4 linked regions of the Anolis sagrei genome follow. The protein of the gene in region 4 purifies or fractionates together with the protein of the main gene of each other region. This does not show direct contact. Links are inferred from orthologs where the notes say so. Each region holds a gene or a part of one and is shown on either strand. Other genes may lie near its edges.

Region 1 (7,791 bases), on a different chromosome or scaffold from region 4:
TGGGAGTGCATCCAGACTATGAAACTGATAGAGTTTGACACCCTTTTAACCGCTATGACTCAATGTCATTGAATACTGGGATTTCTTTGGCAGGGATGGCTAAAGACCTTGCAAAATTACAATGCCCATGATTCCACAGTACTGAGTTATAGTAGTTAAAACTGAATTAATTCTACAGTGTGAATGCACCCTGGATTTGACCCATGGTTCTGCTTCAGAACTGGATGTAGTTCTAGGTTTCTTCAAGACTTCTTTCGGTGCCAAACATATTGCTATAAGGGGCACATCTATGCTGACTCTGTGGTAACTTCACACTCAGACCTCACAACCTCTGAGGATGCCTGCCATAGATACAAGCGAAATGTCAGGAGAGAATGCTTCCGAAACATGGCCATACAGCTCAGAAAACTCACAACAACCCAGTGATTCTGGCCATGAAAGCCTTTGACAATACATTTAACTTCACAATGATTCTATGGCAGCTGCATAGTAACTTTGGTGGAAGAGATTCCTTATGGGGCCAGGCTTTGTACTGCAGGTTAAACTGCTAAGCTGCAGAAAATCCTAGGTTGGTAATTCGAGCCCTGGTTGGAGTGAGCTCCCACCCTCAGCCCCAGCTTCTGCTCAACTAGCAGATCAAAAACAGCAATATGAGTAGATAAATAGGTGCCACTTTAAAAGTGGGGAGGTAATAAAAGTCACCCGTAAGGACATGCTGACAATTTGATTGGGAGGACGTCTATGGATGACAAGGCTCCTTGGCATGAAAAATTGAGTGACAGCACACACACACATACACCCGGCTGGAGTCGAGCACAGCCAGATGTCGGAAATGGAAAAAGATGGGAAAGCCTTTACATCTGTTTATATAGTCCGTTCTTGTTAATTGTACAACAGCATTGAATGTTTGCCATATATGTGTTCTGTAATCCACCCTGAGTCCCCTTGGGGAAATAGAGCAGAATATAAATAAAGTATACTATTATTATTTCAATCAGGTTCAATATTATCCACGATTTTCATTTTCCACAGTATAGTACATTTTGGAAACTATCCTCCGCAGATAAGGGAATCATATGGTATAGTGCAAACACAAAAAAGTAATCAAAGTACATAACCATTATCCATCTCCTCATCTCATTTGTAATCGGAACTATTCAAGCGAACTGGCAACAGAGGAAAATTCCTTACCCAGACTGGACCTACACTGCTCTACATCCCAGGGTCTGATCTCAGATTATTTTCTTATCCCTGATTTTCTGGCACTGTAGACTCATACAATCTAGTTCAAATCAGATAATCTGGGATCAGGTCCTGGGATATAGAGAGCAGGACCAGTCTGCTCTCATATCTTTACTTATTCTCAAACTGGCAAGCCAATGCAAAAGAGAGAGAGAGAGAGAGAGCAATACAAATTAACCCTCTACCCTGGACATCTGTTAATATGTTGCCATGGTGCTGACAAGGACCTTAAAACGCATCTGGCTTGGAAGAGAGACCTTATACACTATAGTCAATATCCATGTTACATCATACAATGGTATCCAGTGTGGTTTTATTTCACCTCAAAAATGCCAGAGCCTAAGGATCTGTGAAATGGTCCAAGGCTACTGCAAGGTACGACTAAACATAAGGTGTAGAGCCAATTGGTGTACAGCCAATTAAAGTTTGGTTTTTTGACTTCTTTCTCCAAAATATTTTCAAGCCATTGGTTGAATCTGTGGGTAGCGAACCCATGGATGTGGAGGGTCGAGTGTACTTGCACATTTCCCCTTTATGGCATTAGCTTATAGAGCCACATAAGAATAATTAAATGTCCATTCCACCTTCTGTTTCTTACTGATTAAACTTGCTTGGATTAATTTATGACAGATGTAACAGCAACAATTTACAGAGATTTCAAAATACAGCTGCTACCTTATGAACCATTATTTGCCTTTTTGAACATATTACCTTGGTAGAGCTTAAGGGACTTCGCTGGCAGCTTAGTCTGTTTTCAAGCACAGTTCAAAGTCCTGGTGTTTTCTTTTAAAACTTATTCAGTTTTGAGCCTCGGTACCTGAAGAAAGATTTTGCTCATGTACCAATCATGTGTTGAGGCTGTCTTTGAAGGGCTTCCTGGCATTTGAGATAAGAAAGGTGGAAACCAGAGAGGGGGCTTTTTCACTTTGTGATTTCCTTTCCTCCTATCCATTCATGGAATTTCTTCCCTGGAGATGTGTGCATGGTGGCAGTACTTTTCGTGCCAGGCAAAGTTATTCCTGTTTTTAAATGCTGGGATTTATCACAATTAATCTCGATTTAGTTATCTCCTTAGAAGCATTGCTGAAGAACAGTGTATAGATTTTTAAACAAGCAAATAAGTAGCACAACCGCAGGAACTAGAGAGTGCTTTTATGACTTATGTTCATTGTGAACTAATTCCTACTCAAGAGTGTTATATTTACAATCGGCCCTCTGTATCCACACATTCTTTATCCAGGGAGTCAACCTTCCATGACTTGTAAAAAAAAAAGGGGGGGGGAGTGGGGAGCAAACAGTGGAAATGAAAAGCACAGATTTTTGGTGGACAAATACAGGTGTGTGAAATAAAATGTAACCCTGGAACCAAACTCCAGCACATACATATTTGAAAACAAGAATTATAATAGTAATAATAATAATAATAATAATAATAATAATAATACTTTATTTATATTCTGCTCTATCTCCCCGGAGGGACTCACAGTGGATTACAATATACAGATAGGAAAACATACAATTGAATAATCCCCACCCCCACCCCCGAGGGATACTGAAATGGAAGTTTGTGCCATTCGAATAAACTACCTAGAAATATTAAAGGATTTCTTTCACTCACTTTTCTGGGGAATTTATTGATTGGCCACCACAGTTTGAAACTTGCTTTGAACTGAATTCAATGGTCAGTGTAGATGGGGCCTGTATCATCACTATCCAGGTCTCCAATTGGTTTCAGGATATCCTATGTAATTATTTGTACACTGAAACCACTTTTTTCAATGCTGATTTGAAATTGCATTAAATGGTCAGTACAGATGGGGCCACAAACCACGGAACAGTGATGCACATTAAGGGCTTTCTTTCACACGCTTTTGTGGAAGTTTGTTGTATGTCCATTGCAGTGTGAAGCTAGCTTCGGACTACATTAAACCATCAGTGTAATGGTGCTTAATCAGGTATCGGCAAACTTCAGCCCTCCAGGTGTTTAGGATTTTTCCCCCTCAGAACAATAATTTTCCCTCAAGTTCCTTCATGAGGTCTACTGAAGTGAACATGTTGCCCTCAGAACAATCCCTCAGAAAAGTAGCCCTTTGAGGGCTATTGAAGTGGCAATTTTTGCCCTCAGAATGCATGTAAAGTTGTTTTTTGAGAAGCTCCTGCTGCTCCCTCTGCCACTGTAATCTTTCTCCCTCGAGCCTCTTAGTGAGGGCCACTAAATGGGACATTTTGTCCTCAGAACAGTAATTTTCCCTCAAGGTTCCTTTCTGAGAGCTACTGAAGAAGGTGTTTTTCCCTAAAACTCCCAGAAATAAAGCACTATTTTCTGAGAAGCTCATCTTGCCCTCTGCACCTTTGCAGATGTTTAGCCCTCAGAACAATCCCTCAGAAAAAAAGCCCTTTAAGGGATATGGAAGTGTAGGTTTTGCCCTCAGAAAAGTAGCATGTTGAGGGATGCGGAAGTAGAGGTTTCACCCCAGAAGAGTAGCCCTTTGCGGGATACGAAAATGGAGATTTCACCCTCAGAAAAGATGCTCTTTGGGGGATACAGAAGTGGAGGCTTTGCTCTCAGAAAAGTAGCCCTTTGAGGATACCGAAGTGGAAATTTCACCTCAGAAAACTAATCTTTTAAGGGATATATATATATATATATATTGTCAGGAGCGACCTGAGAAACTACAAGTCGCTTCTGGTATGAGAATTGGCCGTCTGCAAGGACGTTGTCCAGGGGACACCCGGATGATTTGATGTTTTTATCATCCTTGTGGGAGATTTCTCTCATGTCCCCGCATGAGGAGCTGGAGCTGATCCGCCTCTCCCCGGATTCGAACCTGCGACCTGTGGGTCTTCAGTCCTGCCTGCACAGGGGTTTAACCCACTGCACCACCGGGGCCTCTTTTGAGGGATATGGAAGTGGAGGTTTCCCCCTCAGAAAAGTACCCCTTTGAGGGATACAGAAGTTGAGGTTTCGCCCTCAGAAAAGTAGTCCTTCGAAGGGTATGGAAGTGAAGGTTTTACCCTCAGAAAAGTAACCCTTTGGGGGATACAGAATTGCAGGTTTTGCCCTCGGAAAAGTAGCCTTTTGGAAGATATGGAAGTGGAAGCTTCGCCCTCAGAAAAGTAGCCCTTTTAGGGATACGGAAGTGGAGGTTTCACCCTCAGAAAAGTAGTCCTTTGAGGGATATGGAAGTGAAGGCTTCACCCTCAGAAAAGTAACCTCTTGAGCAGGCATGGGCAAACTTCGGTCCTCCGGGTGTTTTGGACTCCAACTCCCACCATTCCTAACAGCCTCAGGCCCTTTCCTTTCCCCCCTCTGCCGCTTAAGCGGGGGAAAAGGAAAGGGCCTGAGGCTGTTAGGAATGGTGGGAGTTGGAGTCCAAAACACCGGAGGGATGTGGAAGCCACTGCGACCCTCCCTCAATCCCTCAGTGACACTCTGAGGGCGCGTCATTGAGGCACCCGGCGAGGGACGCCTCAGTGTGGTGAGTGCCGCCCGCAAGGCGCTCACAACAACAACATGTCGGCCTGCTGGCTGTGCGCGCTGCTGCCTCCTTAGCGGGCGCCTCCTCCTCCTCCTCCTCCTTTCCTGACAGGACCCGCCCGCGGTGTGCGGCCTGTCCCCTCCCTCCCTCCCGAGGGAGCAGCAGGCGGAGGCGCGGCTCCAGCGGGCGCCCGAGCCCGGCCCTCAGCGAGCCTGGCGGCGGCGGCGGCAGCGACTCCCACACCGCAACCCCGCCATGGCTGAGGCTGGCGCGGCCGGGCCGGGGGAGGGCGAGGCGGGGAACAGCAATGGCGGGGCCGGGGCGCTCCAGCAAGGCTCGCCGGCTTCAGCGGGGACGCCCGCTCGAGCTCCGGCCGCCGCGACTCCTCCTGCGCCCGCCGAAACCAGCCCTGCAGCGGGAACAGCAGCGGGAGGAGGAGGGAGCAGCAGCGGGAGCAGCACGGGCGGGACAGGCAGCGGGGGACCCGGCTCGGCTCGCATCGCGGGCAAGAAGGCGCAGCTCCGCTCCGCACCCCGCGCCAAGAAGCTGGAGAAGTTGGGCGTCTATTCCGCCTGCAAGGTAAGCACCGGCCCCGGAATCATCATAAGCCCCAAGACCCGGAGCGGGAGAGGCGAGCGGCGCGCTTCCCCGTGGCAGCCGACAGGGGGCGCCCGCTTGGGTGTCGGCGGAGGATTGAGTGACAGGAGGAGAGGGCAAGGGAGGGGTCGCGCCTGACTCCTTGGATTAAAAGGAGAGGATCAAAACACAGAGAATGACACGCACAATAGAGTGTGGGGTTTTTTCCCACTTGGTGTCTGGCTGGCAACAAGTTTCTCTCTAGAAGCGCAAAGTTGTTGTTGTTACTAATGTTGTTGTATTTACATCCTGTTTCCCTCTCCTAACGAAGCTCAAACAGTATGCGACCTCAGGCCCCATCTGCACTGACCATAGAATACAGCTCAATCTGAATTAGTAGTGAACATGGGACCACAGACTTGGTGCATGGAGTTAGTTTCACTTAATTCGGATTAGGTAAAGTAAGTCCAGTCATGTCTGACTCTGGGGTGTGGTGTTCATCTCCATTTCTAAGCCGAAGAGCCGGCGTTGTCCATAGACACATCCAAGGTCATCTGGCCAGCATGACTGAATGAAGCGCCGTTACCTTCCTGCCGGAGCGGTACCTATTGATCTACTCACATTTGCATGTTTTCGAACTGCTAGGTTGGCAGAAGCTAGGGCTGACAGCAGAAGCTCATGCTGCTCCCTGAAATGGAACCTGTGACCAGGCCGGTAGCCAGGATTTCGATTCGGGGGGAGGGGGGCTGAGTTTGTTTCGGGTGGGGGGGGCTGAGTCTGAGTGAAAGAGGGTCTAGCCTAGCAAACCTTTTGTATCGTTACCCCAATACCCCCATGCATATGGGATATATTGACTATGGTGATCAGATCATGATATGAATAAACAGTTTAAATAATGCACCAGTAAGGCCTTTTCGCAAACCACCATGAGAGTTTTTTTGGGGGGGGGGGGGGCTAAAGCCCCTCAAGCCCCCCCCCCCCCCCCCCCCGCTACATGCCTGCCTGACAGTAAGTCCAGTCATGTCTGGCGCTCGGATGTGGTGCTCATCTCCATTTCTAAGCCGCTGGAGCGGTACCTATTGATCTACTCACATTTGCATGTTTTTGAACTGCTAGGTTGGCAGAAGCTAGGGCTGGCAACGGAAGCTCACGCCGCTCCAGGTGCTTTGGACTTCAACTCCCAGAATTCCTGGCCTCAGCAGCTGAGGCGGAAAAGGAATGGGCCCAAGGCCAGGAATTCTGGGAATTGAAGTTCAAAACACTCAAAGGGCTGAAGTTTGCCCATGCCTGATATAATAGGTATTAAAATAGTTATATCACTGCAATGTTGTAGGTTTTTCGGGGTGTATGGCCATGTTCTAGAAGCATTATCTCCTGACCTTTCGCCTGCATCTGTGGCAAGCACCCTCTGAGGTTGTGAGGTCTCAAACAGCATTAATTGTACAGTGCACATGCATCCTTCCCAATGGTTACCACATATTGGGGGTAACTAATCCGAATTAAGTGAAACTAACTCCATGCACCAAGTCTGTGGTCCCATCTACACAACCTCTGAGGATGCTTGCCACAGATGCAGGTGAAACATCAGGAGAGAATGCTTCTAGAACATGGCCATACAGTCTGGAAAAACCTACAACGATGCAGTGATTCCGGCCATGAAAGGCTTCAACAATACATAGTTATATCAGCTTGAATGTAAAGCTTGGCTTGGAAGCTTTTATCCCTCACAGACAGAAATATCTCTCATCATGTAAGCTAAGTAGAGTCAGCTTTGGTTAGGTCTAGGATGGGAGACCACCAAGGTGAACCTGACAAAACCACTTTGAAGAAAACCCTATGAAAGTTATAGGATCGCCATAAATTGACAGACAGCCTGAAAGTACACACATTTGATCTAGGCAGAATCAGGTGGTAGTTACGTATCAAGAAAAACACTGTATTGTCGAAGGCTTTTGTGACTGGAATCACTGGGTTGTTGTAGGTTTTTTCCGGCTATATGGCCATGGTCTAGAGGCATTCTCTCCTGACGTTTCGCCTGCATCTATGGCAAGCATCCTCAGAGGTAGTGAGAAAAACACTGCCCATGTTTAGTATTAGTCGTGTGTCCCTTGTTACCTATGACTTGCAGCTATCAACCTCTCCCATTCCTCTCCTCACAGAATAACATTGCTCAAACTCTCATTGCCAAATTCCTCTTCCTCCCATGCCTCTCAAACTCAAAGAGTTTCCCAATTTATCCCTTTTAATTCCAAATCTAAGACTTGAGTTCAGTTTCCCCATTTTGCACCCATTTGTGTGACCTATTGCCCCATACTGATTTATTTTATTTATATTTATGTTTATGTTTATTATTATCTCACTTTTATCTCTTGATCAAGACACAAAATTAAAAATACAATTTAAATCCATTGTGTAAAAATATTAAAGTAGGATTAAACATACAAACCAATTAAAATAATTTAAATCACTTAATAACAGCTAAAATATTCATTTT
Region 2 (7,507 bases), about 98 Mb from region 4:
CAGCTCATTGTAGAGGCTTATTCTTGACCTGCATGTTCTTCCACAGTGAGAACATCATTTTCCAGGTGGAATATGGTTCTGACTAGGGTTGTTATTATTATTATTATTATTATTATTATTATTAACTTTATTTGTACCCCGCGAGCATCTCCCGAAGGACTCGATGCGGCTTACACAGGCCGAAGCCACAAACACAATACAATAGAAAACATAACAAACAATAAACAAAGCAAATTAAAAAGCAAAAACAAATCAAATCAAAATTAGCAATACAACAGTAACTATACATCAGGACATATTAAAAACTGGTTCGGCCGGTGAGAGGTACAAGGTTAAAAGTGCTGAAATGGTAGGAGGGGCGTCGGGATTAAAGTACGGTGTGCAGCAATATTAACTGTGCTAAAGTGCTATTAGGACTTGGGATGGGGGTTCCTAATCCGGGAAGGCACAACGGAACAGCCAAGTTTTCAGGTTCCTTCTGAAAACTGCTAGTGTAGGGGCCTGTCGGAGATCTTTTGGGAGGGCGTTCCAGAGTCGGGGGGCCGCTACGGAGAAGGCCCTGTCCCGCGTCCCCACCAAACGCGCTTGCGACGTAGGCGGGATCACGAGCAGGGCCTCCCCAGATGATCGAAGCGAGCGTGTAGGTTCGTAGATGGAGATACGGTCACGCAGGTAGGGTGGTCCCAAACCGTTTAGGGCTTTATAGGTGAGCACCTGCACCTTGAATTGGGCTCGGAAGATGAAAGGCAGCCAGTGGAGCTCCTTGAACAGAGGGGTAGACCTCTCTTGATAATGAGCTCCAGTTAGCATTCTGGCTGCTGCACGTTGGACCAGCTGCAGTTTCCGAGCCGTCTTCAAGGGTAGCCCCACGTAGAGCGCATTGCAGTAGTCCATTCTAGAGGTGACCAAGGCATGGACCACCCCGGCCAGATCAGCCTTCACGAGGTATGGTCGCAGTTGGCGCACGAGTCTCAGTTGCGCAAAAGCCCTCCCGGATACCGCCGACACCTGAGCCTCAAGTGTAAGCGAAGAATCCAGGAGGACACCCAAACTGCGGACCTGAGGTTTCAGGGGGAGTGTAACCCCGTCCAACACAGGTAACCACCCTATACCCCGATCCGGCTTACGATCGACCAAGAGGACCTCTGTCTTATCGGGATTGATCTTCAGCTTGTTCTTCCTCATCCAGATCGACACAGCGGCCAGGCACTTGTCTAGCACCTGGGAAGCCTCCTTGGAGTTAGGTGGAAAGGAGTAGTAGAGTTGTGTGTCATCTGCGTAGAGATGGCACCCAACTCCAAAACCCCGGATGACCTCTCCCAGCGGTTTCATGTAGATGTTGAAGAGCATGGGAGACAGAATAGAGCCTTGCGGGACCCCACAGGTCAAAGGCCAGGGGTCCGAGCAGGCGTCACCCAGCTTCACCATCTGAGTTCGTCCCTCCAGGAAGGACTGGAGCCACGACAGAACCGTGCCCCCAAGGCCCATCCCAGAGAGACGACCCATGCCTTCCTTTTGACATGCCTTCCTTTTGACACATTTCTCCCTTTTGCCCTCCATTCGTGCCTCTTTGAATTTCATAGCACTGTTACTCACAGCTGACCTCCAGTTAGAGAAGGGCCAGGGCTTCCCAGTTCTCAGTGTCTATGCCACAGTTTTTAAGGTTTGCTTTAAGCCCATCTTTAAATCTCTTTTCCTGTCCACGAACCTTCCATTTTCTGTTCTTCAGTTGGGAGTATAGTAACTTTGGGAGATGGTGATCGTGTGTTCAGACAACATGGCCAGTCCAGTGGAGTTGATGGCAGCAGATTATTGCTTCAATGCTGGTGGTCTTTGCTTCTTCCAGCATGCTGACATTTGTCCACGTGTCTTCTGAAGAGATTTGCAGGATTTTTTTTGGAGGCAACACTGATGGAATCATTCCAGGAGTCGAGTATAATATTGGTAGACGTCTCATTTTGCAGGCATATAACAGGGTTGGGAGGACAATAGGTTTATAAACAAACACCTTGGTCTGCCTACGGATGTCCTGGTCCTCGAACACTCTCTGCTTCATTTGAGAAAGTGCTGCACTTGCAGAGCTAAGACGATGTTGTATTTTGGTGTCAATGTCTTTGGGCCCTTCACTGTAATACGCCTGAGTGGACCAATTCAAGGCATTCTGGACTTCAGTGTGACCTTGAGTGGGATCTTTGATCACATGCAATCTCCTAGTCAAAGAGATTTGACTAGGATCTCTTTGCTCCTAGTCAAAGCGATGTTCTCATCTTGTATTTGTCTTTAAAATCCCATGGAATGCTCTGAAAACAAACGAAGGAAAGCCTAATTATATCTTACTTACTCAGCCGATCCCTCGTAGTCCGAGGATGATGGTCTTCCAAGCTCGGTGTTCTGGGTCTGTAGGTGACTGTGGAGCCCTATTCTTGATCTGCATCTTCTCCCACAGTGAGGGCATTGGTTTCCAGGTGGGAGGTGGCCCCCGTTGGGGTTGGCTTGACGTGCCTTCCTCTTGGCACGTTTCTTTCTTTCCCCCTCCATTCGTGCCTCTTCAAATTCTACAGCACTGCTGGTCACAGCTGACCTCCAACTGGAGCACTCAAGAGCCAGGGCTTCCCAGTTCTCAGTGTCTATGCCAGAGTTTTTAAAGTTGGATTTGAGCCCGTCTTTAAATCTCTTTTCCTATCCTCCAACATTCTGTTTTCCGTTCTTGAGTTCGGAGTAGAACAACGGCTTTGGGAGACGGTGGTCGGGCATCCGGACAACGTGGCCGGTCCAGCTGAGTTGATGGCAGAGGACCATCGCTTCAGTGCTGGTGGTCTTTGCTTCTTCCAGCACGCTGTCCGCTTGTCTTCCTAAGAGATTTGCAGGATTTTTTGGAGGCCGTGCTGATGGAATAATTCCAGGAGTTGCATGTGACGTCTGTAGACTGTCCACGTTTCACAGGCGTATAGCAGGGTTGGGAGGACAATAGCTTTATAAACAAGCTAATTATATCTACCTCCCTCCATTTGCCGGCGTTAACTCTAGAAATAATGTAGTTTGATCCACTTCCACAGCTCAATGCTATGAAACCATAGGAGTTATAGTTTTACAAGGTCTTTCGCCTTCTGTGCCAAAGAGGGCTGAGTAGGCCTCAAATTACAATTCCCATGATTTCATAGGATCGAGACGTAGCCATTATTACGTGATGTCAAACTGCACTAATTCGACAAGGTATAGACAGGTCTCCGTATCCACAGACTCCACCATCCACTGCTTACAAATAATCCAGGATGTCACTCTCAAAAGCAAAAGCTGATTTGGCCCTTCTATACATGGGAGTCAATTTCACTACACTATTTATTTATCGTGTCAGGGGCAGACCAAACAGTTGCACCACTGTGTATATATTCACACACATATAGAAGGTCTTGAGCACCCACTGATTATGGTGTGGAGGGGGGGGGGCGTCGTGGCACACGAAGGAAGCCACCTCAGCGGCGCCTCTTACATTATGACCGGAAGTGAGCATTTCTCCAACGAGCCTCAAGGGAGGAAAAACGACCGACGTCAGTTCTGGTTGCATAATCCCTTCGTCAAATGGAGGAAGGGGGGTGGAGTAGGCCCGAGCTAAAATGGCGCCAACGCCCGTCACCCTGTTCCAATGGCCCAAATGAGCAGCCATTCCCATTGGATAATTCAAGGCCATCCTCGATCCTCATTGGAGCAGGCACTGTTTCCGCCTCCTCTCTCCTTGCTGCTCTCTGGCTGCTCAATCCTTCGCTCTGAAACGCTCGTGATGCCGATTGGCTAATCGTCCTGTCAGTCCCCGCCTTCCTCTCCATGACGGAAAGGCCTCGTCTCTTGATTGGACGCCAGGCAGTTGAGTCGGACGAGTTCGTGACAGGGCTACCCGACGCGGTCGCCGATTGGTCGGTTGCGACATCACTTCCCAGTTCCCAAACACTCTCCAAGCCCCGCCTCCCACACTTGGGTGGGGCTTCTTTCGAAAGGCGTTTCCCGAAAGGAGAGCTTTTGGTAAACTGCTCCCCCTTCCACCCCCCCTCCCCGCATTTTCCACACGCCTTCTTTTTTTTTTGTAATTCCGCGACTGGCTGTGCGAGGCGCCAGTCATCCCTAGCCACGCCCAGAGAGGCCTGTGATTGGAGGAGAGAGGCGGGAGGCGTGGCGCTTGGCCTTGGGGGCTGTGTGGGCACAGCTCCCTCCCCTCAGCAGGCCTTTGGCGGTCACCGGTGGGGGTTAGGCTTAGCCGCGTCCCACAAACTCCGCTGCCCCCGCCCAGGACACCCCTCCGGCGCCGCTTGGGCTCGCCTACTTCTTCGCCTCGGCCAACATGAGCGGTAAGGACGGGACTATTTGGGCCGGGCCGAGAGGGGGGCGCCGCCTGCGTGCTTCCCGCCGGCCTTCCCTCGCGCTCTGGCCCAGCCCCCCAGGGAGGGGAGGGGAGGGGAGGGGAGGGGAAGCGAAGCGAGGGGAGGGGACGGCATTGGCAGGGCCAACCTGTGGCGGGGAGGGGCCCCAGGAGGAGGAGGAAGAGGAGGAGGAGAAGGGGCTTCTTGGGAGGGGAGGAGGACGAGGAGGAGGCCGGAAGAGAGGGTTCCGGGTGGGAATGTCTCTCAGGAAAAGGAAGGCCGTCCCTACCTTCTCCTACTACTTCTGTGTAGTTAACCTTCGTTAGAGGTTAGTATTTCCGTGTTGCTGGCTTAACTACCCACCCACCCACCCAGGGGTTAAATGGAACCCCCCCCCCCCCGCTGCCGCCTTTCACCAGAGTGCCCCTGAGCACGTGCAGAGTGCGCCTTTTTTGTGGGCGCCAGGACTCGGATCCCCGCTTGGGAAGAAGTCACACTCTCTCAGCCTCAGAGGCAAGGCCTTCGGGGGGGGGGGTTAAAAAACACTACAGAGTAGGCCTCTATCTGAGTTTAAAACCGTCCTGGCGCCATTTTAAACCGCCGTTTCGTCTCCGTGCTGCGGATTCCTCCGAGGTGTCCCTTTGACAAGGCCTCAAAAGCCTTGCCTTGGCTGTTGGTTGGCGCCTCACCAAACTGCGAAACGGGCGGCTTAAAGTGGGTTTTTCTTCGTGTTAGGAGCGACTTGAGAAACTGCAAGTTGCTTCTGGTGTGAGAGAATTGGCCGTCTGCGAGGATGTTGCCCAAGGGACGCCTGGATGTTTGGATGTTTTACCATCCTTGTGGGAGGCTTCTCTCATGTCCCCGCATGGGGCGCTGGAGCTGACAGAGGGAGCTCATCCGCGCTCACCCCGGATTCGAACCTCCGACCTGTAGGTCTTCAGTCCTGGCGGCACAAGGGTTTGACCCAGGGGTCCGCAAAGTTTTTAAACAGAGTGCTAGTTTAACCCAGGGGTCTTCAAACTATGTAAACAGAGGGCCAGGTCACAATCCCTCAAACTGTTGGAGGGCCAGATTATAATTTGAAAAAATATGAATTCCTATGCACATTATACATATCTTATTTGTAGTGCAACAATGCTTAAAAACAATACAATAATTAAATGAAGAACAGTTTTAACAAATATAAATTTATTAGTATTTCAATAGGAAATGTGGACCTGCATTTGGCTGATGAGATAGGATTGTTGTTGTGTGCTTTCAAGGTTTCAGGTTGACCCTGAGCGAGGGCCAGGTAATTGACCTTGGAAGGCCGTATCTGGCCCTCGGGTCTTAGTTTGAGGACCCCTGGTTTAACCCATTGTGCCACTGCTTTACAGTTCCACAGTTTCGGCTCAGGGCCCTTCCACACAGCCCTATATCCCAGAATATCAAGGCAGAAAATCCCCCATTATCTGCTTTGAATTGGAATATATGGCAGTGTGGGTTCAGGTAACCCAGTTCAAAGCAGATATTGTTGGATTTTATGCTTTGATATTACAGGATAAAGGGCTGTGTGGAAGGGCCTCAACTGGAATGAGGGGCTGGGCTCAAAGTCCAGGCCTTGTGGGAGGGGAGTGGGCTTCTTCCCAATGCCTCGCTGAGGACAACTAGGGACTGGAAGGAAACTCAGATCCTAAAATGCAAGAGCCCACCAACCGTCCACTGTGTCCTTTTTAGGGACCTTCCAGGCAGGCCCCATATCCCAGTATCTGATCCCAGGTTTTCTGGTTTAAACTGGATTATATGAGTCCCCACGACCAGATAATCTGGGATAAACAGAAAACCTGGGGTCAGATCCTGCTATATAGGGCCTGTCTGGAAGGGCCCTTAGGCTTCTTCTGTCTGTAGGAATCAGATATATGTTGCCAGACAGTCTGAGGCCTCTTCCACATCTGAATAAAATCCCACATTTTCTGCTTTTAACTGAGATATATGGCAGTGTGAGCTCAGATAACCCAGTTCACAGCAGATATTGTGGGGTTTTCTGCCTTGATATTCTGGGTTATATGGCTGTGTGGAAGGGCCCTGAGGCTCCTTCCACACAGGTGAATAAAATCCAGCATTATGTGATTTGAACTGCAGTATTGTGTGGACCCATATAACCCTGTTCAAAACAGATATTGTGGGATTTTCTGCCTTGATATTCTGGGTCATATGACTATGTGGAAGGGCCCTTGGAAACGAAATGTGACATGCACTTGGGGGTTTTCCCAGGCCTCGCTTCCGCCCTTTGGCCTTATCTGTGTGTTTCCTCACACGCATAAAACAGAGCTATCCTTTCTCCTGGGGTGCATTTATGCTGTAGAATTAATGCAGTTTGATGCCACTTTAACTGCCATGGCTCAATGTCTAGGGGTTATTTGAACAAGACCTTGAACCTTCTTTGCCCAGATTACCTTCTATGCCTCACCAAACTACAAATCCCATGATTCAATAGCATTGTTCTCTGTCACTTAAAATGGTGTCAAACTGCATTATTTTTCTAGTGCAGCCTAACTTAGGGCCCTTCCAGACAGACCCTATATCCGAGGATCTGATCTCAGGTTTCTGCTTTAAACTGGATTATATGGTCCCTTCCACACAGCCCTATATCCCAGAATATCAAGGCAGAAAATCCCACATTATCTGAGCATGGACTCAGATAACTCAGTTTAAAGCAGATATTGCGATATTTTCTGCCTTGATATTCTGGGATATAGTCCTGTGTGGAAGGGACCTATCAGTCTGCAGTGCCAGATAATCTGGAGTAAACAGAATACCTGGGATCAGATCCTGGGATCTAGGGCCTCTCTGGAAGGGCCCTTACTTTGGACAGTCTGTTGAGAAGATCTTAACAATCATAGTGTTCACCAAGCTTTGTTAAGCCTTTGCTGGTGTTTCTGCTCTCTTTGAGGCCAGCTGAAAGTCAAAAGCCTACATGCCCCTATGCCACTGTACAATTATTACAATTTTTGCAATTGTGTTATTCTGAGTGCACGTTGTGTGGGGCTTTCTGGGTATTTATGTGGTGTTCCACTGTCCTTTAAGAGGAAAAAACAACACCCTGAGGTTTTATTGAAACAACAGTGAAAAACATGATTCTGGGAGAAAGGTTAAAAATGGGCAATAATATCTCC
Region 3 (7,677 bases), on a different chromosome or scaffold from region 4:
GTGTTTGGGTGTGCTGCAATGCTCCAGTGGGATTCCTTCCTCTGCCCAGTTGAATTAGGCTGATGGGAAGGGTGGGAAAGAATGAGAGCCCAGTGTACTCCCAGGCAATCTGTATTTCACTAGCATTGGAAGGGATCCCCAGAAGACATCTGGACCAACCACCTTCAGCCAGGTAGGAATGCACAGTGAAAGCTCTCCCAGAAGATAGCCATCTAGCCTGAGTTCAAAAACATCCAGAAAGGTTTAATCCCTACAGAACTGTTCAAGTGTAGGTCCTGTTATAAATTTTATAATTTGAACAATTTGTGGATTGAGCTGCAGTAATTATCATTAAAGTGGATATGTTTCTAATTAAGAAAAGGAAATCTGTTGATGTTTGCGATAAACCCCATGGAACAGCTATGGAGTTCCAGGAATCACCGGTAATACAGAAGTGTAAAGGAGAAATGTCCAAAATTTGGATGATATGAAACATACATTATATATACAATTTATATTTTATAGCATATGCACATATATATTATAATACATGTGTATTGCAAGAAACTCTTATAAGAGTTTGGTTTAACCCCCAGTTTGCTAGTAAAACCGACGGTGTCGCAAAAGGATGCATCTCAGAATGTGGAAAGTTTTGATTCACACTTATGGCATCACTCTCCTAGTTTTTCTGGCAAGATTTACCCCAAGGAGGTTTGTCATTTCCTTCCTCACCTTAAGTCTGAGAGAGTGGGATTTACCCAAAGGCAACCAGTAGATTCCCAAGGCTGAGCAGGAACCGGAATCCAGTGCTCAGAACCATTGCGCTAGGCTGGCTTTCTCATGCTGCGTCATGCCAGATATTATTTTATTTGTCACTCACCACTCCTCACTACTTGAGGAAGGCCACAGCAGTTAAAACATCTCACACAGAGAGACAGATACACACACACACATATGAAAGAAAATGATATAAAGACATCCAATAATGATTGGATGTCAATATAAAATTATTGGTTTAATATTGGGTAGGCGTTTTATGAGCATTTAGGGGTGTCCCTTATTTCACAAATAACCTTTCAGAAGGATGCAATTGGGCATTTCTTTCTTATCGTGTCAGGAGCGAACCCAACAGTTGTACTGCATTAAAAACAAAACACAAAATTTGTAAACTTGGTATTCTATTAAATGTCCTTTGACCATAATCTGGCCACTTGGAGTGCCTCTGGTGTTGCTGTGAGAAGGTCCTCCATTGTGCCTGTGGCAGGGCTCAGGTTGCATTGCAGCAGGTGGTCAGTGGTTTGCTCTTCTCCACACTCGCATGTCGTGGATTCCACTTTGTGGCCCCATTTCCGAAGGCTGGCTCTGCATCTCGTGAAACAATATCATACGAAAGCTGACTGGCACAACCTGGTGATCACAACCAGACACAGTGAAGACATCTGCCCTTGCGCTGTGCTACTCTGCTGCTGAGTACGCATGCCCAGTGTGGAACACATCTCACCACGCTAGAACAGTGGGTGTGGCTCTTAATGAGACATGCCGCATTATCATGTGGTGTCTGCGCCCCACACGACTGGAGAAATTATACTGTTTAGGTGGTTTTGCAACACCTGACATCTGCCGGGAAGTAGCAGCCAATAGTGAAAGGACCAAGGCAGCTCATTCCTTGTTTGGGTATCAGCCAGCATGTCGACGACTTAAATCTAGACATAGTTTTCTTAGATCTACAGAGACACTCGCTGGAACACCCCAGCAAGCAAAAGTCATAGAATCATAGAATCAAAGAGTTGGAAGAGACCTCATGGGCCATCCAGTCCAACCCCATTATGCCAAGAAGCAGGAATATTGCATTCAAATCACACCTGACAGATGGCCATCCAGCCTCTGCTTAAAAGCTTCCAAAGAAGGAGCCTCCACCACACTCCGGGGCAGAGAGTTCCACTGCTGAACGGCTCTCACAGTCAGGAAGTTCTTCCTCATGTTCAGATGGAATCTCCTCTCTTGTAGTTTGAAGCCCTTGCTCCATTGTGTCCTAGTCTCCATGGAAGCAGAAAACAAGCTTGCTCCCTCCTCCCTGTGGCTTCCTCTCACATATTTATACATGGCTATCATATCTCCTCTCAGCCTTCTCTTCTTCAGGCTAAACATGCCCAGCTCCTTAAGCCGCTCCTCATAGGGCTTGTTCTCCAGACCCTTGATCATTTTAGTCGCCCTCCTCTGGACACATTCCAGCTTGTCAATATCTCTCTTGAATTGTGGTGCCCAGAATTGGACACAATATTCCAGGTGTGGTCTAACCAAAGCAGAATAGAGCATGGGGAGCATTACTTCCCTAGATCTAGACACTATGCTCCTCTTGATGCAGGCCAAAATCCCATTGCCTTTTTTTGCCGCCACATCACACTGTTGGCTCATGTTTAACTTGTTGTCCACGAGGATTCCAAGATCTTTTTCACACGTACTGCTCTCGAGCCAGGCATCACCCATTCTGTATCTTTGCATTTCATTTTTTCTGCCAAAGTGGAGTATCTTGCATTTGTCACTGTTGAACTTCATTTTGTTAGTTTTGTCCCATCTCTCTAATCTGTCAAGATCGTTTTGAATTCTGCTCCTGTCCTCTGGACTATTGGCTATCCCTCCCAAGTCCAAAAGTGGCAGGCCCAAACCCAGCACCTCAACCAATGGCTGATCCCAAATGAGAGACTCCCCCTTCCTGGGCACACTGAGGACTGGGCGACCTGGAAGGCACTGAACAGACTGCGCTCTGGCACCACAAGATGCAGAGCCAACCTTCAGAAATGGGGCCACAAAGTGGAATCCTCGATATGCGAGTGTGGAGAGGAGCAAACCACTGACCACCTGCTGCAATGCACCCTGAGCCCTGCCACATGCACAATGGAGGACCTTCTTGAGGCAACACCAGAGGCACTCCAAGGGGCCAGAGACTGGTCAAAAGACATTAAATCAACTACCAAACTCGCAAATTTTGTATTTTGTCTGTTTGCTTTGTTCTGTTAGAAATGTAATATAATGGACTGGCTGCCCTGACACGAAATAAATAAATCACTACTATTTGCGTTATTGTTCACTATTATATCACTATTATATGCACTATTGTTCACTATTATATCACTATTGTTCTTTGACTAGGTTGTCTCTTATTTTGTATGTATATATATGTATGTATGTATCTCAATCTCCCTATAGAGACACCTGTGAGAGTCTTCTCCTCCTTCTGCCTTTTTGGTCCTCCTCCTCCTCCTCCTTCAGGCCTGCCTTTTTCCCGCCAAATGTGTCCTGGACAGGTCAAGCGGAAATGTCCACTCTGGGTCACTTCCTGTGCGGCCACTCCTTCCGCCGCGCCCGCCTTGCTCTCGTCTCCTCTCCGGGGAAAGACACAAAAGCGACCCTCTCGGTGGCCCTCTCTCCCTCACAACCAGGCCTTCCCCGCTTGGCTTCCCCTCGCGCATGCGCGGATGGAGGAGAGAGAGCCACACAAAGGCGAGGGGAGGGGTTGATACGCATGCGCGAGCGAGGCCCAGCACACTAAAACTCCCGATGTTAAGTACGCATGCGCGAGCGAGGCTCAGAGTACGAAAAAAAGTGCAGGCGATGTCGTGTACGCATGCGCGAGTGAGGCCCAAAACAAAAAATAATCTGGTGGTGTTGAGTACGCATGCGCAAGCGAGTCCCAGCGAACAAAAAAAAGTGCTGGAGATATTGTGTACGCATGCGCGATTGAGACCCAAAACACAATAAAGTCTGGCGATGTTGAGCACGCATGCGCGAATGAGGCTCAGAAAGAAAAAAAAGTATCGATGTTGTGTACGCATGCGCGAGTGAGGCCCATAAAGAAAAAAATGTGCTGATAATGTTGTATACGCATGCGCCAGTGAGGCCCAGAAGAAAAAAAGTATCGATGTTGTGTACGCATGCGTGAGCGAGGCCTAGAAAGGAAAAAAAATGCTCTGCTGATTTTGTGTACGCATGCGCCAGTGAGACCCAGAAAGAAAAAAAGTGTCCATGTTGTGTACGCATGCGTCAGTGAGACCTAGCAAGAAAGAAAAAGTATCGATGTTGTGTACGCATGCGCGAGCGATGCCTAGAAAGAAAAAAAATGCTGTGCTGATGTTGTATACGCATGCGTGAGTGAGGCCCAGAAGGAAAAAAAAGTGTCCATGTTGTGTACGCATGCGCGAGCGAAGCGAAAGCCTTACAAAGAAAAGAGCTTTGGTGGTCTTGTGCAGGCATGCGCAGGAGAGAAAGACTCTCCTCCCTGTCTGCGCATGCGCCCCTGTTGCGTAGGGGAAAGCCGGCGTGGGAGGGGAAGGCGGAGGCGCGTCGCGAGCGCTCGGCGCCTTGAGGGGAGGGAGGGAGCGCGAGGTCGGACTGCGCGTGCGCGCGGGGCGAGAGAGAGAGAGCGAGCGAGAGATTGAGCGAGAGAGAGAGAGAGAGAGGGTGGCGGCGGCGTGGGAGGCAGGCGCGGCGGCGTCTCCTTCCCGCGGGCTCTGCGCATGCGCGGGGCCGGGAGAGAGGGAGGCGAAGGGCCCCGGCTGAGGCGGCGGTGGCGGCGGCGCAGGAGGCCGCGCGGGAGGCCCGGAAGGACCATGGCGGCCCACACCACGGCCACCGCCAACACCAACCCCACCCCCTCGGGCCAGCCAGGCTCAGCGGCAGGAGGAGGCGGAGGAGGGAGCGGAGTAGGCCCCGCTGAGGGCCCGCCCGCCTCAGGCCTCTCCTCGGCCTCCTCAGCCTCCTCGTCGTCGTCCTCCTCCTCGGGCCCTCCCGCCGTGTCGCGGCGCAAGGACGGAGGCCCCGCGGGGAAGTTCTGGGAGAGCTCCGACACCGCCGCCCAGCTCGACGCCGCACGACTCTGGCTTGGGAAGCACTGCAAGAAGGTGAGGCCTTCCTTTGTCCCCCAACTTGGGCCTTTGGACTCCAACTCCCAACATTCCTCACAGCCTCAGGACCCTTCCTTTTCCCCCTCAGACGCTTAAGCGGCTGAGGGGGGAAAGGAAAGGGCCTGAGGCTGCGAGGAATGGTGGGAGTTGGAGTCCAAAGCCCCTGAGGCGTGGCCTAGCATTATTTCTGTACCTTAGTGTCATTAATTTGGTTCCCTTTGTGTCCCTTTGAGGCTGAGAAAGTGTCACTTGGTATGTGTATGTGGGGTAGGCTTCCTTTATTTCTTTGTTTACATCTCTGACTCCTTAATTTGGTTCCCTTTGTGTCCCTCTGAGGCTGAGAGAGTGTCACTTGATATGTGTGTGGGAGGGGAAGGCTTCCTTTATTTGTTTGTTTACATTTATATGCTGGCGAAGGGGACTCAGAGTGGCTTACAAGTCATATTGGACATAAAGCATACTATATTATTTTTAAACATTCATAGAATCATAGACTCAAAGAGTTGGAAGAGACCTCGTGGGCCATCCAGTCCAACCCCATTCTGCCAAAAAAGCAGGAATATTGCATTCAAAGCACCCCTGACAGGTGGCCATCCAGCCTCTGTTTAAAAGCTTCCAAGGAAGGAGCTAGACACTATACATCTATTTATAGTGAGGAATTGTGGGAATTGGAGTCCAAAGCCCCTGAGGCCTGGTCTAGCGTTAATTCTGTGCCTTAGTGTCATTTCTGACTCATTAATTTGGTTCCATTTGTGTCCCTTTGAGGCTGAGAGAGTGTCACTTGGTATGTGTATGTGGGGAAGGCTTCCTTTGTTTGTTTTCGACATTTATATCCTGGCGAAGGGGATTCAGAGTGGTTTACAAGTCATATAGACATAAGACATACTATAGTATTATTATTAAACATACTATATATTCTTTTCTGTCTCCCTCAGGGTGAGGGAGTGTCACTTGTATGTGTGGGGAAAGGCTTCCTTTGTGTCTCTCTGAGGCTGAGAGAGTGTCACTTGATATATGTGTGTGTGAGAGAGAGAGGGGGGAAGGCTTCCTTTCTGTCCCTCTGAAGCTGAGAGAGTGTCACTTATACGTGGGGAAAGGCTTCCTTTGTATCTCTCTGAGGTTGAGAGAGTGTCACTTGTGTGAGTTAGGAAAGCCCCCTTAGTGTCCCTCTGAGGTTGAGAGATTGTCAATTGATGTGTGTGTGCCTTCAGATCCTTTCTCTTCTGTGGCCAGCCTAGAGCAGGGTTTTCTTGAACCAGTTGAATCTTTTGTGTCTCTCTTAGGCTGAGAGAGTGTCAATTCTGTGTGTGTGAGAGAGGAAGGCTCCTTTTGTGTCCCTCTAAGCCTGAGAGAGTGCCACTTCTATGTGTTATGAAGGTTCCCTTGGTGTCCCACTGAGGCTGAGAGAGTGTCACTTGTGTGTGAGGGGGAAGGCACCCTTTGTGTCCCTCTTAAGCTGAGAGAGTGTCACTTGATATGTGTGTGTGGGGAAGGTTGTCTTTGTGTTCCTCTGAGGCCGAGAGACTGTCACTTGATGTGTGTGTGTGTGAGGAGGGCTACTTTTGTGTCCCTCTTAGAATGAGAGAGTGTCACTTGATATGTGTGTGTGTGTGGGGGGGGGGGAGTTTCCATTGTGTCACTCTGAGGCTGAGAGAGTGTCACTTAATATGAGTGTGCCTTCAGGTCATTTCTCTAGCAAGCCTAGAGTAGGGTTTTCTTGAACCAATTGAGTCTTTTGTGTCACTCTTAGGCTGAGAGAGTGTCACTTGATATGTGTGTCAGGAAGGCTCCCATTGTGTCCCTCTGAGGCTGAGAGAGTGTCACTTGATATGTGTGTCAGGAAGGCTCCCTTTTTGTCCCTTTGAGGCTGAGAGAGTGTCACTTGATATATGTGTGTGGCGAAGGTTGCTTTTGTGTCCCTCTGAGGATGAGAGAGTGCCACTTCATGTCACAGGGAGGAGGGAGCAGGCTTCCTTTCTGCTTCCCAGGAGACTAAGATGCAATGGAAGAATGGCTTCAAACTACAAGAAAGGAGATTCCATCTGAACATGAGGAAGAACTTCCTGACTGTGAGATCCGTGCAGCAGTGTGTGGTGGAGGCTCCTTCTTTGGAGGATTTTAAACAGAGGCTGGATGGCCATCTGCCAGGGGTGCTTTGAATGCAATATTCCTGCCTCTTGGCAGAATGGGGTTGGATGGCCCATGAGGTCTCTTCCAACTCTAGGATTCTATGATTCTATGTATGCCTGGGGAAGGCTCCCTTTGTGTCCCTCTTAAGCTGAGAGAGTGTCATTTGATATGTGTGTGTGAGGAAGGATCCCTTTTTGTCCCTCTTAGGCTGAGAGAGTGTCACTTGATATGTGTGTGCCTTCAGGTCATTACTCTTCTGTGGCAAGCCTAGAGCATGGTTTTTTCTTGAACCAATTGATTCTTTTGTGTCCCTCTGAGGCTGAGAGAGTGTCACTTGATATCTGTGTGTGGGGAAGGCTCTCTTTGTATCACTCTTATGCTGAGAGTCACTTGATATGTGTGTGGGGGGAGAGGCTTCCTTTCTTTCCCTCTGAGGCTGAGAGAGTGTCACTTGATATCTGTGTGTGGGGAAGGCTCTCTTTGTATCACTCTTATGCTGAGAGTCACTTGATATGTGTGTGTGTGGGGGGGGGGGAGGCTCCCTTTGTGTCTCTCTTAAGCTGAGAGTGTCACTTGATATGTACCTGTGGGGAGCTCGCTTTGTGTCTCTGAGGCTGAGAGAGTGTCACTTCATGTGTGGGGGGGAGGGAAGCTTCCTTTCTGTCCC
Region 4 (7,971 bases):
TTAAGATAAGACTGTCCAACTCTGATTGTAACCTTCTTCAATGTAAATGTGCTTAAGTATCCTTCCAATAATAATAGAATAAAATAATAAATGTAATAAAAATAATAGAGTAAAATAATGTAAATGTAATAATAATAATAATAATAATGAAGTAAAATAATGTAAATGTAATAATAATAATCAATTTAAATAAGAAATGTGTTAAAAATGATAGAGTAAAATAATGTAAATGTAATAACAGAGTAAAATAATAAACATAACAAAATAATAGTAATAACAGGGTAAAATAATACATAACTTTGACTCGAGTATAAGCCAAGGGGGGGGGGGGGAGGATTCAGCCTAAAAATGAGCTAAAAAATTCGGTTTATACTTGAGTATATAGGGTACTTAACCTGGCAAACAGACCTTCCCACCCAATGGCCAAACAGAAAGTACTGAAGGGGGTTGGGGGTGATTGACCCAGCATGGTGGAAGCTGCAGTCCTCTCATATCCAAAAAGCCTTGTGACCCTAAATGATGATGGATCTGGACCAAACATGGCACACATATGGTCGAATTTAGACTAGGACCGCATATATGGAAGGTCCGTGCCCAGTGACTGTTCCCGATTGAAGAACAGACAACACACTCACTAGGTGAAGACAGCCACAGACTTTTATTAGTAATCTGGCCAGAAAGAAGGCAAGTACGGCTGCTGCCAAAATGTACAAGCATAATATGCAATAGTTTAATTACGTTTTATTTGAGTATTGCATTCTGGTCTTATTTTAAATGCCAATTAGCCTCTTTTGTTATAAGTTTAACGCTATTATTTTGGGGAGAGAGGGTGGTCTATAAATAAAGTTGAATTATTATTATTCATTCTGGTGCCCTTGGAGAGCTATAAATCACTGGGGTTGTGGTGCTGTGTTCGACAACACAGGTACCCATCATGACCAACTTTAAATACTGATGAGGTTTGGGGGCAATGGCAAAGGATGATGGCAGTTGTAATTTATCCACATTCTTATGCATCTTCCAATGGGATCATTCGCAAAATTCAGAACTAAACAATTACTACTTCTAATGTTTCTCCTTACAAAATCTCTAACCAGAGCATTGCTGGGTACCTAAGCTAGTTTCATATAAAAATCAGAGAGATAATAAGAACAAAGCCAAACACAAACTCACACAAAGGGCACACTGATTGGTAGCACTTTTAATAAAAGATGGTCAGATTTCTGTGTCGGTGATTAGTGTTTGGCTTCGACAATTTTGCTAATGATTGCATGTGATGCCAAATTGTCATTTGGCAGATAGGTTGCCAGATGAGCACATGCGTTCTTGCATAGCCTTGGCCGAGGAGTGATATATCCAAGGCCGTTGGCAGCTCTGCATGGGTAGGACTGTCAGTGGGAAGTGGAATTTAATGTGGATCATCCTTCACTCATCATCCTATAAAACAGCACAATCCAACATGACTTTGCCACTTCGAGGCTCCATCTACACTGCCATACAATGCAGTTTCCAACTGTATGTAGACTGATATGATGCAGTTTAACCTCACTGGATTGAACTACATGAGTCTACATATAATGGTGGTGCAGCAGGTTAAATCATTGAGCTGCTGAACTTGCTGACTGAAAGGTTGGCAGTTCGAATCCGGGGAGTGAAGTGAGCTCCACTGTTAGGTCCAGTTTTGCCAACCTATACATTCAAAAACATGTAAATGTGAGTAGATCAATAGGGACACCTTCTGCAGGAAGGTAACGGCACTCCATGTAGTCATGCTGGCCAGATGGCCTTGGAGGCATCTACGGACAACGCTGGCTTTTCGACTTAGAAATGGAGATGAGCACCACCCCCCAGTGTCTGACACGACTAGACCAAATGTCAGGTGATACCTTTACCTTTATGTATACTGCAGTATATGGCAGTGTAGATGCAACCTTTGCCTGGCTGATTTAAATGGAAGATTTCCATAGCTCCCCAGTCACACTGAATCATAGAATCAAAGAGTTGGAAGAGAGCTCATGGGCCATCCAGTCCAACCCCCTGCCAAGAAGCAGGAATATTGCATTCAAATTACCCCTGACAGATGGCCATCCAGCCTCTGTTTAAAAGCTTCCAAAGAAGGAGCCTCCACCACACTCCGGGGCAGAGAGTTCCACCGTTGAACAGCTCTCACAGTCAGGAAGTTCTTCATGTTCAGATGGAATCTCCTCTCTTGTAGTCTGAAGCCATTGTTCCATTGCGTCCTAGTCTCCAGGGCAGCAGAAAACAAGCTTGCTCCCTCCTCTCTGTGGCTTCTTCTCACATATTTATACATGGCTATCATATCTCCTCTCAGCCTTCTCTTCTTCAGGCTAAACATGCCCAGCTCCTTAAGCCGCTCCTCATAGGACTTGTTCTCCAGACCCTTGATCATTTTAGTCGCCGTCTTCTGGACACATTCCAGAGGAGGGCGACTAAGCTATGAAGGAACCTATGAGTGTTTATTAGGCCTGTGCAATCAATGAAAAAAGTTTCAGTATTCACTACAAAAATTAGAGGGTGGGGGAAATTGTTTCTAAAGTGTTTCTGAAATTTGACGGAGTCTGCATCTTAACTATAACGAGTTAACTACTTTTCGTTAAGTAATTGTGCTAATGGGGAAACTTCAGGGGCTCCTTTCTCCCTCATTGTTAGGGCTATGTGCATAAAACTTGCTACGATGATAGAACACATGCCCCCCCCCCCCCCCCCCCCCCCCGTAGCAGCAGCCAGCCAGAGTTCCAATAAATTGTTGAATCTTCAAAGAGGAGGACTTATTGATACTTCTAGTAAGTAAACCTCTGTGGTGGGCTGGGAAGAAATCCTTAAATGGAAGTATTATTGGTTAATATGAGAGACATTCAATAACATAGCTGTTGTGACTTTTTAAAAAAAATGTTTTTGTCAAAAGTTTTTTTTTAAATCCCCCAAATCAGTAGATGTATGAATATTTTTTAACTTGGGGGGGGGGGGGGGTCAGTCTTGTGTCATTGCACAGAAAATTCAAGGAGATAGCAAAATCTATGAATAAGTGAAACATTCTGAAGCTTGATGGGCTAACAGTGGTAAATGTATTCTACCACTGTAGCAAGTTTCACCCCAATAGCTGTAAAAATGAGGGAGAAAGTAGCCCTTGAAGTTTCCCCACTTACACAATTAATATAGTAAAAAGTAATGAAATTTCGTTACTCTCATTACTCTCCTTCCCTTTTTCTTCCTTTTCCCTTCCTCTTTCTTTCCATTCATCTCTTTTCTTCCTTTCCCTTCTTCTTTCTTTCCATCCTTCCCTCCTTTTACTTCCTTTTCCATCCTTCCTTTCCCTTCTTCTTTCTTTCCATTCTTCCCTTACTTTTCTTTCTTTCCATTCCTTCCATTCCCATCTTCTTTCTTTCTATCCTTCCCTCCTTTTTCTTCCTTTTCCCATCCTTCCTTTCCCTTTTTCTTTCTTTATATCCTTCCCTCCTTTCCCTTCTTCTTTCTTTCCATCCCCTTTCTTCCTTTCTTTCCCTCCTTCCCTCCTTTTTCTTCCTTTCTCCTTTCCCTTCTTCTTTCTTTCCATCCTTTGCTTCCTTTTCCCTTCCCTCCTTTCCATTCTTCTTTCTTTCCCCCCTTTTCCCTCCTTCTTTCTTTCCATCCCTTCTTCCTTTCTTTCCACCCTTCCCCGTTTTTTTCTTTTCCCATCCTTCCTTTCCCTTCTTTCCTCCTTTCCCTTCTGACTTTCCCTCCCCTTTCTTTCCATCCTTCCCTCCTTTTTCTTCCTTTTCCCTTCCCTCCTTGCCCTTCTTCTTTCTTTCCATCCTTTTTCTTCCTTTCTCCTTTCCCTTCTTCTTTCTTTCCACCCTTCCCTCCTTTTCCTTCCTTTCCCTTCTTCTTTCTTTCCATCCCCTTTCTTCCTTTCTCCTTTCTTTCCATCTTTCCCCCCTTTTTCTTCCTTTTCCCATCCTTCCTTTCCCTTCTTTCCTCCTTTTCCTTCCTTTCCCTTCTGACTTTCTATCCCCTTTCTTCCTTTCTTTCCATCCTTCCCTCCTTTTCCCAATCTTCCTTTCCCTTCTTCCCTCCTTTTCCTTCCTTTCCTTTCTGTCTTTCCCTGTCTTTCCATCCCCTTTCTTCCTTTCTTTCCATCCTTCCCTCCTTTTTCTTCCTTTTCCCACCCTTCCTTGCCCTTCTTTCTTTCCATCCTTTTTCTTCCTTTCTTCCTTTCCCTTCATCTTTATTTCCATCCTTTTTCTTCCTTTTCCCTTCCCTCCTTTCCGTTCTTCTTTCTCTCCATCCGTTCCCCCCTTTTTCCTTCCTTTCCCTTCTTTTCTTTCCTTCCTTCCTCCCTCTCTTTGGGACTATTTCTTCTCACTTGCGAGAGACAATTGCTGGGCGGAAGGATACACTCCGAGTGGCGGAGGGACACAGTTAACAAGATTTTTGCTTCTTCCCTGCTCCTCCCTCAAAAAGGAGAGACTAGGTTAAGGAGGCGGGCCTAAAACACGCCGCGTCCAATCCGACGCTTCTCTGGTTAACCAATCCGAGGGCTGAACACATTTTGCTCTTCTTCGTGACGCGTCCGCTCATTGGTGGCTTCCAACCAATGGCAGCGAAGAAAAAGATGAAAGAGGGGACGGAGGGGAGGGAAGGGCGGGGATAATCCGGCCCCGCCCCTTTTATCTTCTTCCGACCCAATCCGCGTGACGGACGGACGCAGGGACCAATCACCTCCTTCGATGGAGAAGCTCGAGACGAGGGCGGGGACACGGAATGCCGTTGACTCCACCCCTGGCGGCAGCTTCCATCGTGACGGGCGAAAGCGTCGACCAATCACGGGCTTCGAAAGAGAAGCAGGGGGCGGGGCATATTTTCGGTCGGCCAATGGCGGCGGCGGAGGAGCTGTGAGGGGCGAAGACGGCGAGAAAGAGAGCGAGGGCGGCAGAGGCGCAGCTCGGGGCGAGGAGAGAGGGCTCTGAGGCGGCTGAGGGTGAGAAGGGAGGCCGCGGCGTCGAGGGGAAGCGGGTGGCGGGGAGGGGGCTTCATCTGGGAGGCCTGGCGGGGGTGGGGTAGGCCTCAGGCCTGGAGCGAGCGAGGGGGAGGCTCCCTGGGCTTTGTTGTGGTGCGAGAGGGGGAGGGGAGCCGCCAAGGGCCTCTCTTGGCCCGAACGCGCTTCAGCCTCATATACACCCCAAAATAGGTACATATTTACATGCAACCGTAGCCTCAGTGCTTACCTGAAGGCTAAAGGCATGCCTTTGTTATTGCACAGCCAGTTATAGGCATGATTCAATCAAAGTTATGGATTCTGATTTAAGTGAGAACCCCTCCCAAAAGAATATCTGTCGAGATCAGGCATGGGCCTACTTGGGCCCTCCCTCCAGGCCCTTTAGCTACCTTTCTGTCTGTCTCCACGCCGTCTAACTGGAGGAAGGGCCAAAGTTGGACCACTATCACAAGTGAGGTTGGTGGGGACGAGGAACAGGGCCTTCTCTGTGGTGGCCCCTCATCTGTGGAACTCACTCCCAGGGGAAATTAGGGCATCAACATCCCTCCTCTCCTTCAGGAGGAAATTAAGGACATGGTTGTGGGACCAGGCCTTTGGGCAATCTGACAACTAGATAAGGACAATCAGATGACTAGGACTGACAGGACTGACAAAATGAAATTGGAAATTGGACTATGAGATGGCAAACGCTGACCGTTAATGAGGAGTAATTGGTTTGTATTGGTTTTATTGGTTTTATTGTTATAATGCAGGAACTGTTGGTTAACTGTTAATTGCTGCCATATTGTTTTATACTACTGTTATGTGATGCCGGCATCGAATTGTGTCTTTGTAAGCCACCCTGAGTCCCCTCCGTAGTGAGAAGGGCGGGATAGAAGTAACCGAAATAAATAAATAATAATAATAAACTTTATTTATACCCCGCCACCATCTCCCTGACGGGGACTCGGAGCGGCTTACATGGGGCCGAGCCCGAACAAGAATTACAATATAACAATACAAATTGCAATAAAATAAACAACATAAGATTAAAATAAAGTAGCTGGCTAGATAGATAGAAAGGTAGCTGGATAGATAGAAAGATATAGATAGATAGAGAGGTAACTTATAATAATAAACTTTATTTCTACCCCGCCACCATCTCCACGATGCGGACTCGGAGCGGCTTACATGGGACCGAGCCCGAACAAGAATTACAATATAACAATACAAATTGCAATAAAATAAACAACATAACATTAAAATAAAACATAACTGGATAGATAGATCGGTGGCTAGATAGAAAGGTAGCTAGCTAGATAGATAGAACAGTAGCTGGCTAGCTAGATAGAAAGGTAGCTGGATAGATAGAAAGAAATAGATAGATAGATGGAAAACTAGTAATAATAATAATAATAATAATAATAAACTTTATACCCCACCACCATCTCCCCGATGGGGACTCGGAGCGGCTTACATGGGACTGAGCCCGAACAAGAATTACAATATAACAATACAAATTGCAATAAAATAAACAACATAACATTAAAATAAAACATAACTGGATAGATAGAAAGATAGGTGGCTAGATAGAAAGGTAGCTAGCTAGCTAGATAGAAAAGTAGCTGGATAGATAGAAAGATATAGATAGATGGGAAACTAATAATAATAATAAACTTTATACCCCGCCACCATCTCCCCGATGGGGACTCGGAGCGGCTTACATGGGGCCGAGCCTGAACAAGAATCACAATATAACAATACAAATTGCAATAAAATAAACAACATAACATTAAAATAAAACATAACAGGATAGACAGAAAGATAGGTGGCTAGATAGAAAGTTAGCTAGCTAGCTAGATAGAAAAGTAGCTGGATAGATAGAAAGATATAGATAGATGGGAAACTAATAATAATAATAAACTTTATACCCCGCCACCATCTATCCGATGGGGACTCAGAGCGGCTTACATGGGGCCGAGCCTGAACAAGAATCACAATATAACAATACAAATTGCAATAAAATAAACAACATAACATTAAAATAAAACATAACTGGATAGACAGAAAGATAGGTGGCTAGATAGAAAGTTAGCTAGCTAGCTAGATAGAAAAGTAGCTGGATAGATAGAAAGATATAGATAGATGGGAAACTAAAAATAATAATAAACTTTATACCCCGCCACCATCTCCCCGATGGGGACTCAGAGCGGCTTACATGGGGCCGAGCCTGAACAAGAATCACAATATAACAATACAAATTGCAATAAAATAAACAACATAACATTAAAATAAAACATAACAGGATAGACAGAAAGATAGGTGGCTAGATAGAAAGTTAGCTAGCTAGCTAGATAGAAAAGTAGCTGGATAGATAGAAAGATATAGATAGATGGGAAACTAATAATAATAATAAACTTTATACCCCGCCACCATCTATCCGATGGGGACTCAGAGCGGCTTACATGGGGCCGAGCCTGAACAAGAATCACAATATAACAATACAAATTGCAATAAAATAAACAACATAACATTAAATAAAACATAACTGGATAGACAGAAAGATAGGTGGCTAGATAGAAAGTTAGCTAGCTAGCTAGATAGAAAAGTAGCTGGATAGATAGAAAGATATAGATAGATGGGAAACTAAAAATAATAATAAACTTTATACCCCGCCACCATCTCCCCGATGGGGACTCAGAGCGGCTTACATGGGGCCGAGCCTGAACAAGAATCACAATATAACAATACAAATTGCAATAAAATAAACAACATAACATTAAAATAAAACATAACTGGATAGATAGAAAGATAGGTGGCTAGATAAAATGGTAGCTAGCTAGCTAGGTAGAAAAGTGGCTAGCTAGATAGAAAGGTAGCTGGATAGATAGAAAGATATAGATAGATAGATAGGTAACTGGATAGATAGAAAGATATAGATAGGTAGGTAGGTAACTAATCTATATATATAAATGCTCTGTGCATAATGAGTGGCT

The links.
Region 1: the proteins of SMAD2 (region 4) and KAT2B purify together in Homo sapiens (affinity purification with western blotting, with the first as the bait; 3 studies listed by BioGRID). This does not show direct contact. The link is inferred for Anolis sagrei from reciprocal best matches to the Homo sapiens genes SMAD2 and KAT2B.
Region 2: the proteins of SMAD2 (region 4) and SP1 purify together in Homo sapiens (affinity purification with western blotting; 3 studies listed by BioGRID). This does not show direct contact. The link is inferred for Anolis sagrei from reciprocal best matches to the Homo sapiens genes SMAD2 and SP1.
Region 3: the proteins of SMAD2 (region 4) and SMARCC1 purify together in Homo sapiens (affinity purification with mass spectrometry; 3 studies listed by BioGRID, with this or other methods). This does not show direct contact. The link is inferred for Anolis sagrei from reciprocal best matches to the Homo sapiens genes SMAD2 and SMARCC1.

Annotation. Positions count from the first base shown.
Region 1 is NC_090026.1:87,238,553-87,246,343, reverse strand, and holds the start of KAT2B (histone acetyltransferase KAT2B), read left to right. Parts: upstream 1-4,729; 5' UTR 4,730-4,976; coding exon 4,977-5,300; intron 5,301-7,791. UniProt on the Homo sapiens protein: Functions as a histone acetyltransferase (HAT) to promote transcriptional activation. Has significant histone acetyltransferase activity with core histones (H3 and H4), and also with nucleosome core particles.
Region 2 is NC_090022.1:190,697,755-190,705,261, reverse strand, and holds the start of SP1 (transcription factor Sp1), read left to right. Parts: upstream 1-4,165; 5' UTR 4,166-4,333; coding exon 4,334-4,340; intron 4,341-4,575; exon of another isoform or gene 4,576-4,680; intron 4,681-7,507. UniProt on the Homo sapiens protein: Transcription factor that can activate or repress transcription in response to physiological and pathological stimuli.
Region 3 is NC_090026.1:130,812,058-130,819,734, forward strand, and holds the start of SMARCC1 (SWI/SNF complex subunit SMARCC1), read left to right. Parts: upstream 1-4,321; 5' UTR 4,322-4,493; coding exon 4,494-4,877; intron 4,878-7,677. UniProt on the Homo sapiens protein: Involved in transcriptional activation and repression of select genes by chromatin remodeling (alteration of DNA-nucleosome topology).
Region 4 is NC_090022.1:289,003,589-289,011,559, forward strand, and holds the start of SMAD2 (mothers against decapentaplegic homolog 2), read left to right. Parts: upstream 1-4,854; 5' UTR 4,855-4,978; intron 4,979-7,971. UniProt on the Homo sapiens protein: Receptor-regulated SMAD (R-SMAD) that is an intracellular signal transducer and transcriptional modulator activated by TGF-beta (transforming growth factor) and activin type 1 receptor kinases.